Linked DNA regions of Caenorhabditis elegans. The protein of the gene in region 2 interacts with the protein of the main gene of each other region in a biochemical or structural test. Each region holds a gene or a part of one and is shown on either strand. Other genes may lie near its edges.

Region 1 (6,188 bases), 4.0 Mb from region 2:
ACCTAATTTGTAAGATGAACTATTGTGCATTGATCAGCGTGAATATCATAGTTTTGCAATGATCTCCAGAAATTGCTCCAAATTTACGAGAGCTTCTAGCCTCATACGCGTTTTACAGTTCTCCAAATTATAAAAAAATGGGCGTTTGTCGCAATGTACTCTTACTATTCGTGCGTATTATTGAGTTGTTAGATGTACAGTTTTGAAATGTTCAACAAATTGAAACATTTTATATAATATATGATATTTGAAATTTCCTATTAGTGTTTTTTTTTTGCTTCAATATTTATTTCTGGTTTTGTTTTATTTATCTCAATTTTACAAGAGTTGATGAGTGTTCCCAAATAAATCAAATTATTATTACTCCCACTTGTTGTATGACTGCAAGACTGCAAGCCTAGTCATGATATCATATCCCAGCATCTTTGTGTTTTACCCACCTTCACGTGGCCATAAAATATTTGTCACTCTCTAATTTATTTCCAGTATTATTCTCAATGTGTCCACTGATTGAATAGTTAAAATAGTTAGTTATCACCCACAAATCAAACGACTTTTTTGTGTCCGTTTATGTTTTTAGGTCTGAAAGAGTTGATGAAGTTTCTGCATGACTGGTCGCAGTCAACGTCACCTAAAATCTTGATTAAATTTTTTACGCTGTGCGTGATTTTTAAATTCTTTACATGAGTGCGTTCCAAATCTTTCCGCCTACTCATGAGGTGCCCTTTCTAACACAAGCACTCCGAGATACCAAATAAACTGCCATGTCTTGTGACGTGTCAATCTCAATGGGTTGAAACTGAGCTGCGTGGGGTACCTAAATTTTGGATTAAAATAGCAAATCGTAAGGTTCATGCATTGAAAATGACAAGTTCATGGAAGCTCTCTGCCTATGAGAGAGAATATCAACCGTTATTTTTCAGTTTTCACGGAATAGAATTAAAAGACTTCTCCGGGAATAGCATAGTCGCTGCGAAAATAAATACAAGTTATGTGTTGTTCGATCGTTCCAGGCGTGTAACGCTGAAGACTTAATAATAATTGTAAGGCATCCTACATTCCCTCATAAAAATACATGTCATCTTTGCTCAAAGACGCGGATAAGTGTCTAAGCACATCTCATCAATTCTATTGTCTAGTGTCCTGAGAGGGTGTTTTAAAATTTAGACGGGCACGTTTGTCACCACTTCCCTATCCTTCTTCCATAATCGTCATTGTTTTGTTTATAAGAAGTTCTGAATTTCTGAGCTCAAAAAAAGTTATTTTTTAAAGAAACAGAACTATTGAACTCAAAGTGTGAAACCGTAATAGAAGACAGGGAGGTGCTAGCTGTAACCAAAATTCGAAAATAAATTATTTTTGAAACCTCTGTTCTAACCAACTTTTCAATTTTCTGTAGAACTCAAGGCTACCAAAGCCAAAAAAAATTAGTAAACGAAAAAACATTTCAAATAACATCTATACTGCCACCACTTTCTAAAAACCAAATTGGGATGATCGTAAGTTTTGAAGATTAGATATGTGTATGGAGATTTAAACAAAAATAAGTTTTTAAGTATTTTTGACACATGCAATAGTAATACAAAATGAAATGATTGTTCAATTGTGTTGATTCCTTGGCATAAAATTTCAAACCACATTCAAACATTGACATGTCATTTGATTGACTAGATTGCAGTATTTAGTTAATATTTCGATTAAAAAAAAGAACGCACACAATTTTTGGAAACATATTTAGGTGAGACGTCTAATTAAGTCCATATTTTATAATGAATTGTTTACGTGTTTCTTATTGTTTTTTTAAGATCATGGATTATGGATACTTGTTATTCAAAAATTTTGAAACATAATAATTTAACGCAACGTTTTTCATTTGAGAAGGCGTCGAAATGGAAAACACAAAGAATATCAGTTCGCACAACAGTTCGAAAAAAATAGGAGGACAAATAAATGAGTGAAAGGGTATATTTCAGGTGGGGACTTTTTAAGAAACACTATGCAGTTAGACAACGTAGGAGCAGTGATTCGACACGAGTTGATTGTTCCTAATTAGCCGAATCGGATGAATTTGGCTCCACGTTTAACGTAGAGCTCGTTGACCGATGGTGAGGCGTATCCATCTTCCTGAAAATTCAATAAATGATGATGGCATAATGGTTAGTATACATGAGAAGTTGACGTTTCGGATGCGTCATTACTCATATCCATGTGTTGGCATATGACATAGTGCTTTTTAGCGTGATATTTTCATATATGTATTCCGTTTGTAAAGATAGTGGGGGAGCGGGGTTTTTAATATTTCAGAAAGCTAATAGCTTGTAATGCAGTGTGTACTCAGTCACGTCGATCTTTCATGAAATTCTGACGTTTTTCTTGTGACTTAAAAGTATTCCGTCTTCGCTGGAAATGACAGGCATCGTTTATCCTTTATTAGTCTCATCATATACTTATTAGTCGAAATTTGTAAATGTTCATATACGACTAGAACAATTTTTTTAAGGTGCTCCCCAGCATTACAAAAAAATCTCTAGACTCAGCAAATATCAAAACAGATAAAAATCAAGATTTTCAGAATATAATTTGCATACGTAATAAGGGGGTCGAATAGGATTTTCTACAATGGTAGCAGCTTAAGCTATGTGTACAACAAACACAAGGAAACAAGCTTTTCAGAACCTTGGTTTTCGACTTATGCAGTGATTCACTGAAAAAATTATTTTCTTGAAATACTAACCCAAGTGTTCCTTGATCGCCCAAATCTGATAAACTTGGCTCCTGCACGACCGAATCGGATGAATTTTGGCTTTGGTGCTCGTGCTATTCTTTGGTATTTTTCAAGGTAGTCCGCGTCTTCGGCACTGAAAATATTCGGTGTTATTAGATTGAAAAGTCCATATTTGTGAACAAAGAGACCGTTGTTTTATTTTTTTAAAATGTCATAGAACCTTTCCTGTCTTTTTTCTTACGTATTTCACACGTCAATATTGAAAATGTGTCTATTTTAATTACCACCATTTATCATATTTTTAATATTGTGTTTCGGTTCACCACGACCTACATTTCTGCATATAATTGTTCAAAAATAATTGAAAAATGAAAAGATAAGAAGGTTACCACATTTTCCTTTTTGTCGCTTAACCAACTACTTTACTTTTCCAAACTCAATGAGCACATGCGTCATGTTAGCACGCCAAGTGCAAAATTAAACGCTTCATTTACCAATTGTATTGAACGACTAGAGCAAAAAAGTGGTGGCAACTTTTTGAAGGAGACATGTTTTGTGAGTGCTCTGATCCCTCCAGTGACTTTCTAAGAATGAAACAGGGAAGTTTCAAAGTTGCCTGATATTAAAGAAGCGGGATAAATCGAGAACGGAATGCTAATTTGTGTTACATTGAAGGTCAAAGAAGCTAATTTTATGAATTCCACCCTCGCTTTTCTATTAGGTTAGAGACTAGTCCTCAACTATTTTATTGTTTGACATACTTTTGTTTTTGTTTTCAATGCTTGGAATTCAATGTTCTGAATGGGAAATTCCAAGCTTTAAAACAAAACAAACAGTTTAAAAATCTGAGTATTTCGAAAAGTAATTTCAAAAAGATATTGTCATTGAACACTTCCATTCTTTGTTTATAACGTCATCTCTATTTTTTCCTTGCTGAAGACTCTGGCCTCCCAACAAAGTTGTTCCAATTTTTTAAACAATAGTATGGAAAGAATGGGTCAAAGTGCATCTCACCGGAAGCATCGAATGCAAAGCGAATAAGCAAAAAGCGCGCCTCCTAGTACTCGCAATTGAATTTGAATGGCTGATTGATATTTCCGCTTCATCCGACACCAAGAGTCCAACAGACAAGATGGGATCCCCCAAAAAGAATAAACTCACGTCACATTACGATGCTCATGAGAATGAAAAAAAGGGAGGAGACCGGGGTATAAGTTCGTAGGAAGCGCACAAGATGCTAGTAGTAAAGTGAAATGCCGAAGAAAACGAACAGAATCTAGTATGTGTGTTAATCACGCCATTGCATCTTTGTATAATTAGAAAATTACGAAAATGATGATGAAATAAAGTGCATGATGAAAAATGCGTCACTTTTGAGCAATTAGCTGTACAACGATGATTTAATTTGGATATTGAAACTATTTCTGTATTAGTATTTAGTTTTTCTGAAAAAGATAATTTGCTTGTACCTACGACTTTAATAGGTTCCGTTGTTGTTTCAATCTAGACCTTCACGCACCGTTAGAGTTTTGGTTTTTTGTGTTTTTTTTTCTGTCTGAGTTGGTAATTTATGTCAGCCTTTTTTAAAATCCTTTTAATAATTTTACTTTAAGTCCTAGCGCCTTTTCTTTTTAGGAAGTCCATGATAGTCTCAATAGCCGAAGCAATGATCACAATCAAGAACAAATGGCCAGTTTTGATCAGTTGGGGTTTAACAATTGGCTCATCACAGCACCTGAACCCTAGACATCAAATTAACCTACCTTGATTGAGCGGAAACACATTGGAAGACAAGAAGGGTGGCGATGAAGAGGAAAGCAATCGTGGTGCTTCGGCTGCTCATAGTTGCGAGGAATGACTGTTTCGTAAAAGGCGGGTGCTGTCGTGGAAGCTGAAAGGCGGGGACGCTGCGCATGGCTTGCCAACTGGCTCCGCCCCATCTCTACTATTATGTGGAGCGGTTGGGAGCTGAACTAGAGATGATGGGAAATAAGGAGTAAATTGAAACTGTAGTTGTTATTTTTGGGAAGAGACTTTATCTAAAAGAGTTGTTATTATAGTAGGAAGAGAAGATAATTGGAGAAATGAAGATATCAACATGTCTACTACAACAGAAAATAGCAATATGCTTTTGATAACTTGCGTCAAAGTTGCATGACATAATTTGATGAATTAGCTCGTCTATATTGGCGATCAAAAATATAAAAAGAATCCTCCAGCAGATTTCTGAATTCTCTGCGCAATTCGTCACACGACCCAAAAGCTTTTTTAGGTACTTTTAGGTACTTCCTTCCAGACTTCAACTTTAACAAGCTCTTTTTGCAAAACGGAATGCCCTCTATGTTTCCCATTTAACCCCGTGGAGATTGAAAAGTAAACGATCTAGTAAGCCTCTGGGGGAATAGAAGGGGTACCGGAAAACTAACGACTTAACCCAGAGTTTGATAATAGAAATGGAGTCAGAAGCCGAAAAGCTGATTGAAAACAAATAATAGAGTAGGATTATTTGTTTTCGAACCAGGGTCACTATCAATTGGGAGAAAAATAATAATACGAAAATCAGAACAAAAAATTAATCAGAAACCTTTCAAATTTCAAATAGACTTCTAGTGATTGTTTTAGTACGTCATAGAGCATCAACTTTGGTTTTTAGAAAACTTGCAAATCGATGTAACGCTATTCCCAAAAAACACTCCGACGATCAACTATAAATTTTGTTTATGTACCAATTCATAATTTCCACGAACCGATAAAAGTGCTCATGTACCGGTTTTACTTCAAAATGAGAGTTTTGTATTGTGTTCACTTGCCGAATTCTCATTTCCGTTTTCCATAATATACACAAGAAACAATATCAATTGCAAGATTCATTTCAGATCCACCCGTTTCAAGCCCACATTGCTTCTTTTTTCTTAGATACCACAAAAAAAAACAACTAAACTAAAGTTAAAAAACTGAACTATTCTGTTTCTAGGCGGCGCGTTCTCCGTAGTAAATGGGAGATTCTCCGAAAACTGCAAAATGTCAGTGTTGAATGACCGATTTGACATGTCGGAGGAGGAAACGGCGGGGCCTGACATGACGTGTCCGTTTTGGCCCACAAAAAAGTTTTAATTAAAACTGGAAGCTACGGGAATGAAAAAGTCTACGGGCGAGCAAACAAACCGTAAAGCCTAGAATTTTCAGCATATTGAATTTTTACGCGAACTTTGTATTTGAACTTTTGCTCGATGACTTTCTTTACGACATGTGTGAATTTTAAGATCATGTTTCATTTTCTTAAAGAAGTTTGTTTTCAAAAAGGTTTATTCAATACTAAAACACAACAGAACCAATTTTTGTTACCCTCTTTCAGTCTTGATTAAGAGTACTAAAATAATGCAGAAGTGTACCAATTGGCCATATCATCTGTACTTTTTGTGTTCAATATTACTTTCCAAGAGTTGTTTTATTGTGTTCACGA
Region 2 (7,254 bases):
AGAAAAGGTATCCACTTCTAGGGTTTCGATGATTTTGAACATTTTTCAAATTAAAACTCAGAAAAAAAAAGAATACTGCCTATACTATGACTTCTCTTGTATTTACTTTTACGTTTATTGAACACAAACTTAGTTCCACAGACAATAAACTACCAGATTGCAGGCTGATGTCTGAAATTGATTCTTGTACATCCCTATGGACCATTCTTTCAGACAGTTACTGATTCACCGATTGTGTCTGTCTACTCCTAGTAGTCATACTCACCTTCTAGTTTCAGATACTCTAAATGAACCCCCATGAAATTTTGTGCACAGACTACGAATAGATATCTTGAAAAATTCAAAGTCAGAGTTCAATCGTTTTATTTTGAAAAACCTGCTTCTGTTTACCATGGACTTCCTCAACACTTTTTGACGCCCCATGGCATTGAATTGATACAATTGTTTTTGCCGGCTCTTACGTCTGTTTATTTGTCTATTCAAGTCTCTGGCCATGTGCTATCTGAGAAAATTCTAGGAAAAAAACATGAATGCTAAAATAAAATATGTTCCGTTTATTTTTTCGAAGTTGTGGATCCGTTTATTTTTCATTCCATTTTATTCCATTTCGTTATTGCAACTATTTCACTGATTCATTTTTGCACCAAATTTATTTTCGGGTATTTATTTTATTTTTTGATGGTTTTTCATCCTTTTTGCTTTTTTCTCTATGCATAGCTTTTTTGATTTGACTAATAAACCTTAAGAGATCTACTTTGTCGTCTTTCGAGCTTTTTCTCTGAGTTAATGTGCATAAAATTATTTTTCATTGCCCCTCGGAGTTTTTGAGAGCTTTTATCGTATTACGAGACAGGACAACTCCCTCGTTGTGCCGCTTTTATTGTTTTTCTCATGTTAATAGCTATAGATTCGCTTTGCAGATTCACGATCATTCAAAACCTCAGACGACGTCACTCAACTAGTTAAGTATACCGTAGAGGTACCGTAGTCCAACTTGATTTTGATGAACGGCGGATCAAAGAAAAGAACAACTTCAAAAGTACATGTATACATACTTCAGCTACTGACGCTTGAACTACTCGAAAATTGTAGCTTATCGGTGAAAATGCAGGCTAGAAATAGGCATTTCAAAATTGCAATGTATACCGCCTATTTTCTGTGAATGGCCTTTGAAACCAAAGTTCAAAAATTTGAAAAATCAATTTTAAACCCAACTTTGAAAATTATGAGTTCTTGGTTTTTTCTGGAAACGTTTAGCAAAAAGAAAATTTAAATAAATGCACAATGTTTTTTTCGTTTTGCAGAAGACACATGAACTTCAAAAAAATTAAAAATTAATGTATCCTCTAAGGCAAGTAAGTTGACTCTAAAGTAAGTGAGGCACAAAGCACGCAAATTTTGATGAATTTATGGGAATTTGTGTTACCAAACGTAACCCGCAGTGTAACTTAGCCGAAATTTTTTTGCCGGAACACTTTCAGTTTTTGCAAAAAAATCAATCTCAAGTTACGATTGGAAAGTTTTTTAAACGAACAATTTTTGAAATTTTCGATGAGCTTTTTATCAAATCACAGCTGAAACAAAGCGGACTTTGTGAAGATTCATGTTTTTATTTATTAATGTAATACATACGAAAAAAAAAACAAAATTATAAATATCTGTGCAACAAGCCCACAAACTTTTCACTGACTTTGTTGTTTTTATGGATAATTCCAGTGTTTCTTACTAATTTATAAACGCTGATAAATAGTTATGTATTTTGAAAGCAGTCTCTGAAAAAAAACACGATATTAAATCAAAAAAATTTTACAAAAAAGCAAAAAGATTTGATATACATAACATTGTAACAGAATTTACGGCCTTTCCAACAAAACAAGTTTCTGTTGTCTTATAAAAATTATTCCAAAGATCTGGGAAAGTTCATTCAATATCCCCAGCGCTCATTACCATTTTCTTACGCATCGCACTTGGTCTCCGAACCTTCATTGCATTCACCTGAATCTTAGATAGCAAATGACGAAATCAGCCCAATCCTCCAATCATCCAATCGCAGACTTGAATAATCAACGCAACATTTGCACATCCTTAGAGGTCATCCCCGCATGACTCTATCATCCTTTTCTCCGAACCTTTTTTCCTCCGCTCTCCGCCCTCCATTCTTCTTTTTCCTGGCTTCAATCCCTTTTTTTACAACCAAATGGACCCTCTAAGACAATTGAGCAACGCCTGCGGAAGAAGGGCAAGCCAATCTGCAGTCGGTTGGTCCTTTTTTATTATTTACCTTACACTTGTTTCCGTTTTAATTGTTGCGATCTTTGTACAAGAAGAAAATCATGTTGGTTTTTGATGAAGTGAGTTCGGAGTTCGAATTGTTCTTTCAACTCCAAAAATCGAAGCACTTTTGTTTTATATTTTCGGTTTCACAGTATAACAAAAATTTGTTTGTAGAGTCATGTTTAGATTAGTATATAAAAATGTTAAATTCCACAAATTTGATTGAAAAACAAAAGTAGTGATTATTGTTTGTGTATTTCTCGAAACTTATTTTTCCAATTGTAAGGAAATATGAAATCAACTAATTCTATGGATAACATATAATTTAGTTTTAATTTGAAAAATAAAATAATGTTGTAGAACTTTAATGTAGTACACATTGAAAAAAAATAGGTTTGGCGGTAAAGCTTTCTAGTTCACCCATCTTCAAGTAATGCAAAATTGAAGTTTTCTTACCTGTTCTAGTTGGTTTTGAAATTCTCCTTAAACAAATTAAAGATAATTTTATTCAATTAAAAAATATTTTCCAGTATTTGACTTTTCACCAAAGTTAAAACAACTTGAAAAAAAGTTCAAGGTGTTTTCACATGTTCTAGTCTAGACTAGTTTCTTCAAAAGTGAAAAGACTTACAAAGGCAAAAATCCTTTGTCATTGTAATCCTCCGCCATAAAATTTTGTTTGTTTTTTTCTAAGAATCTGAAAATTAACTTTTCCGCCTGTCTTGCTCCATTTTTCTCATTCCAACTCGATTAGTTTATTGCATTAGTGCAGAATGTACAAACGTTTCTGAAAACAAACGCTTTTGGTGCCAGATGTTGAGGATAATATTAATCTTTTCTCACAATTTCTTCTTGTCCATTCTTTCTTTGAATTTATCTAAATACAATTTGTTTCAGCCCAGCTTGCCTTGGCACCAGGCTCTCATTTAATCACGGTAAGCCTCTCGGTCACTGTAAACTATATAACCAATCGTTTGATTTTCAGATATCAACACAAAGTTTACGGAGAATTGCAACTGAAAAGTTGTTAGGTGAAGACACATATACAGAACAATGTTACTGGAAATTGGCACAATAACAATCGGGAATATAACCCGAGCAAGAAAGTTTGGAGAAAGGTAAGTTCCTGAAAATGGAAAATGGGTCCCCCTCCGCATTTCAAATGAGGTGTCTATTAGTTTCTGGGAAAGTTGAAAGAGAAACCCTCCCACAACTCAAGTGTTAAAGTTCTAAGCCCAAATTCAGACACTTGTGAATATTAGATTATTGCCTATTTTGACGAGCTATGGTAAAAAAAACAACACTAATTTCGAGTGAAAACTCCAAAATTGTGGTGCACTTGTCACACCATCACTCATTCTCTGACAAATCTCGATTGTGTTTTTGAGCCAACCAGCTCTTATTCGTCGCCGTCAAAACTTTCTTAAATTGAAATCACATCTCGAAACCTTCTTCCGTTTTGCATAAAATTGAATTTAGTTCAACAAGTTTAAAATGCCACCCCTTTTCTAGAAAACAAATGATGACGTTTTCCACGTTTCTCAGTTGAGAACGAGTCATGCGACTTTCAATTGGTGAAGTTCTTTTTTTTTTCTTCTGAATTGGTGTTTTTCCATTACCAAAAAAAAAAGGGTTTTTGATCTTTAGATCAACATTCTCAATTTTTCGGTGCCAATCAAGATTCTTGGTGCATTGCGTTAGACAATACTGAATTGCAGCTAATCATGTAAAACAAGAAACAAATCATTGGCAAAATTGAGAAATTGTACCCAGTAAAACTAAAAAATATGGATCAAAGGGTGGTGTGAGTTTGTTGGGTGTTTTTCGCAGATCAATGGCAATTCGTTTGTGATTTTGAAAAAAATCGCTACAATTGTGAACATTGCTCTTTTTGACTTTTTGCTAACGATTTTACAATAGCTCAAATGTTGAACTTTTACTTTTCAAGATTCTTATAGTAAGACTTTTCTTGAACGATTTAATCTAGATTTTTTGGATCCAAAAACAGTATTCCTCTTACTCGTTGTACTTTTTGGCACTTCATTCTCCTACGGACCAACCACTTCATCTTTGCAACTTTTCGCTGACCTAAGATAATCAAATTCCTTAGAAGGAAGGAAAACTTTGAAACTTTCTCCCGCTCTCTCGAGTTTTTTATACCACCCACCTATAGTTCCTCTCTGTCTCTCTCTCCGTACTCATTTCATTAATGACGTTTTAAAATAGAGCCGCTAAAGAATTGATCTTATATATTAGGAGAGAAACGCATAGTGTTCGATCTTTGATGCTCAAAGCTCAAAATGTTAAAAATGCCAGCATGGTGTTATTATAATGTATCTGAAATACAAAATTAGAAGGTATCTGCAGAAATGCTGACGTGAAATGTGGGAAGGGGAAAGAGGAAAAAAGTTTTTACGATTGGTTGTGAGTAGGCGGAAAGATATGTTGTACAGCCAGTGGGGACATGATTAAAACCGTTTAATATTGCAAAAATGATAAAATATTATGATAAACTTTTCAAAAGCTATTGAAATTTTTTTTTACTCCGAGTCAAGATTTCAAAAATTTCATTTTGATATTTGGTAATTTTAGCACCACTATTGTAATGGTTTTCAATTATTTTTCACCTACCGTACTACAGCTTTAAGATTGTCACAGCACTCCGCTTTTTCTTTTGTTTCCTTTGAACCTGCTGAAGAACATGATTTTTTTTCCAAAATCTTTAATAATTTGCAATATTACCGTATACATATTTCCTGGTTGTTACGGACCTCAAAAATAATTTTCAGTTTATATAATTGTGATGTGCTTTTGTTTTGAAAACACCACATTGTCTAGCCCATTTGCTTTTTTTAAATGAATTTTTTATGAATTATGAAAACTACTTCCACTTAAAAAATCAGTGGTTCTGGGAAAATAACCATTTATTTCATTCCGTCTTCTTGTTTTTTTGACCGCGATGAACAAATACAAAATGAGAACATTAAAAGAAAACCAAAGTCACGAGACAACGTAGGCACCCAATTGTCTCGTAATTTATGAAAACACCAGTCACCAACCTAGAAGTACACCTTTTAGCCGGTCCCGATGAGGAAAACAATGAACAAAGGTTGAAGTTTTGCTATATGCATGTTTGACGCAGTCTGGCTTGTCCGGAACAAGATGTGCAATAGATTCGAGCTTTTGCGAATATTTTGGAAGAAATAGTAAATGGCCCGATATATCTAGATGAGACTTGGACGGAGGAGTAAAGTGGAAATTCGTTTACTTCATTCTATTTTGTGCTTAAAGAAGATATTTATCTGAGAAGCGTTGGGAAATGCATTTAACGGAAAAAGCCTTTCACATTCAAATTTTAATTTTCGATTCCTTGGCCAAGTTCATGTTGCGCTGCGATAGGCTTAGTATAATATTTTCGGAAGTTATTTGCATGTTCAGCAGATTGCGTCACAAATGCCATTTGTCCGATCAATTGAGCTTATTTTTATGTTACTATTTGGGAGGGTTGAGTAAGAAAATGCTAACTAACATCGTTTTTTGTCTTTTGAGATTTGAGAAATTTCTTATTTGCTTTCTCATCATTCTTTGTATTCTCAAAAATGAATGTGAACCTTGGAAAACGCTTGTAAGTTTTTTTTGATTCTTGAAGAGTTGAAACTGGGCAATTTTTCAAATTTATAGTAACTCGCAATGTTTTGAGAAATTTTCAATTTTCGGTTCTTTTTGAATATTACACATTCTACGTATTAGTTTCAATTTTCAAAATTGTTTAAAACGTTCATAATACACATTTCTCCCTAGAAAGAATGTTTAATTATTTTGTAAAGGTTCTCCCCAATTGATCACAAAAACATGTTGCGCATTCTGCTCAACTTGAATGCTTGTATCAATTATGAATGATGGTTTAATTTGAGTATTCACGCGCAAAAAACGTGAATCATGTTTTGCAATTTCTCACGTATGTAATATGTATTACCCCATCCCACCCAATATATACAGCCTCCGGAAACACATCCTCTTTTCTCATAAGCTTATCGTAGTTTTTTCTCATCACATTGGGACATGTTGTTTTCTTTTCTGATTTTATATTTGGTTTATAGTCTCAGGTTGCGTAAAAATTTGATGAGTGACTTATGTACTTCGAAAAAGAACCTGGAAGCTAAATATGTACATTTTAAGTTCTTCTTAGCCTACAGGTTTTGACGAGAATGCTCGCTCATTATCGCTTTTTTTCAATATTTAATCAGTTTGAAACAGCAGAATTTTGATCGCTAAAAATTATAAGCTTATCGAACAAAAACAGATAATCTGAGAGGATATTAGAGGATATATTTAAAATTGAGAATCGTGTAAAACTTCCTATCGGCAAAAATATATTAGTTGTTAGAATCTAACTTAGAAACTCAAACGCCTTTAGCGGAGATTGATAGCGTCAAATGAAATCTCAGCAGATGTCCAGCGAAACAGTTTGTTTACTCTTGTTTTTCAACATACAGTTTTGTGGCGTTTAGTTTTCCTGTTATTTTCGAATATCATCGCAATCCCAGACACAATCCGTACGTATTTGAAGCTCCTGAATACGGTAGAGATACTACAGAGTTCTCAAAATTTGAATGATCTCCCTTTCCTTCCTAAAATATTCCGTCGCATTTTTTCTTCGAAATTTATTTCTTCTCATAATATTTTTGAACTTTAAAATAGATTTAATTCTATATTCTTGAAATTATTTGATATCACTTTTTCAGACAATTCGGAAGCCTTTCAATTTTTTTGAAAACAAATTATAAACAAAGTTGTACATAATTGGATGTATGGCATTTATCGCTCGAATTAGAATACAAAAGAGGTGCAAACCAGGAACTAGAGATTCGGATTCTGAATTAGTGAAAATAAAGTCATTATCTTTATTCCTTTTTTCTTCAACATTCCTTCTTTCCTTCAACTACAAAACTTAAGTATTATATAAGTATTATAAGTTGT

Evidence for each region. Proteins that work in one complex are often made in the same cells at the same time.
Region 1: of the proteins of npr-4 (region 2) and flp-5, one has a biochemical effect on the other in vitro, tested with the Caenorhabditis elegans proteins (one study listed by BioGRID).

What each region holds. Positions count from the first base shown.
Region 1 is NC_003284.9:8,526,702-8,532,889, reverse strand, and holds flp-5 (GAKFIRF-amide), read right to left. Parts: upstream 4,570-6,188; 5' UTR 4,569-4,569; coding exon 4,489-4,568; intron 2,859-4,488; coding exon 2,735-2,858; intron 2,125-2,734; coding exon 2,050-2,124; 3' UTR 1,857-2,049; downstream 1-1,856. UniProt on the Caenorhabditis elegans protein: FMRFamides and FMRFamide-like peptides are neuropeptides. GAKFIRF-amide has an excitatory effect on dissected pharyngeal myogenic muscle system.
Region 2 is NC_003284.9:12,547,595-12,554,848, reverse strand, and holds the start of npr-4 (G-protein coupled receptors family 1 profile domain-containing protein), read left to right. Parts: upstream 1-3,171; 5' UTR 3,172-3,209; intron 3,210-3,259; 5' UTR 3,260-3,327; coding exon 3,328-3,392; intron 3,393-7,254.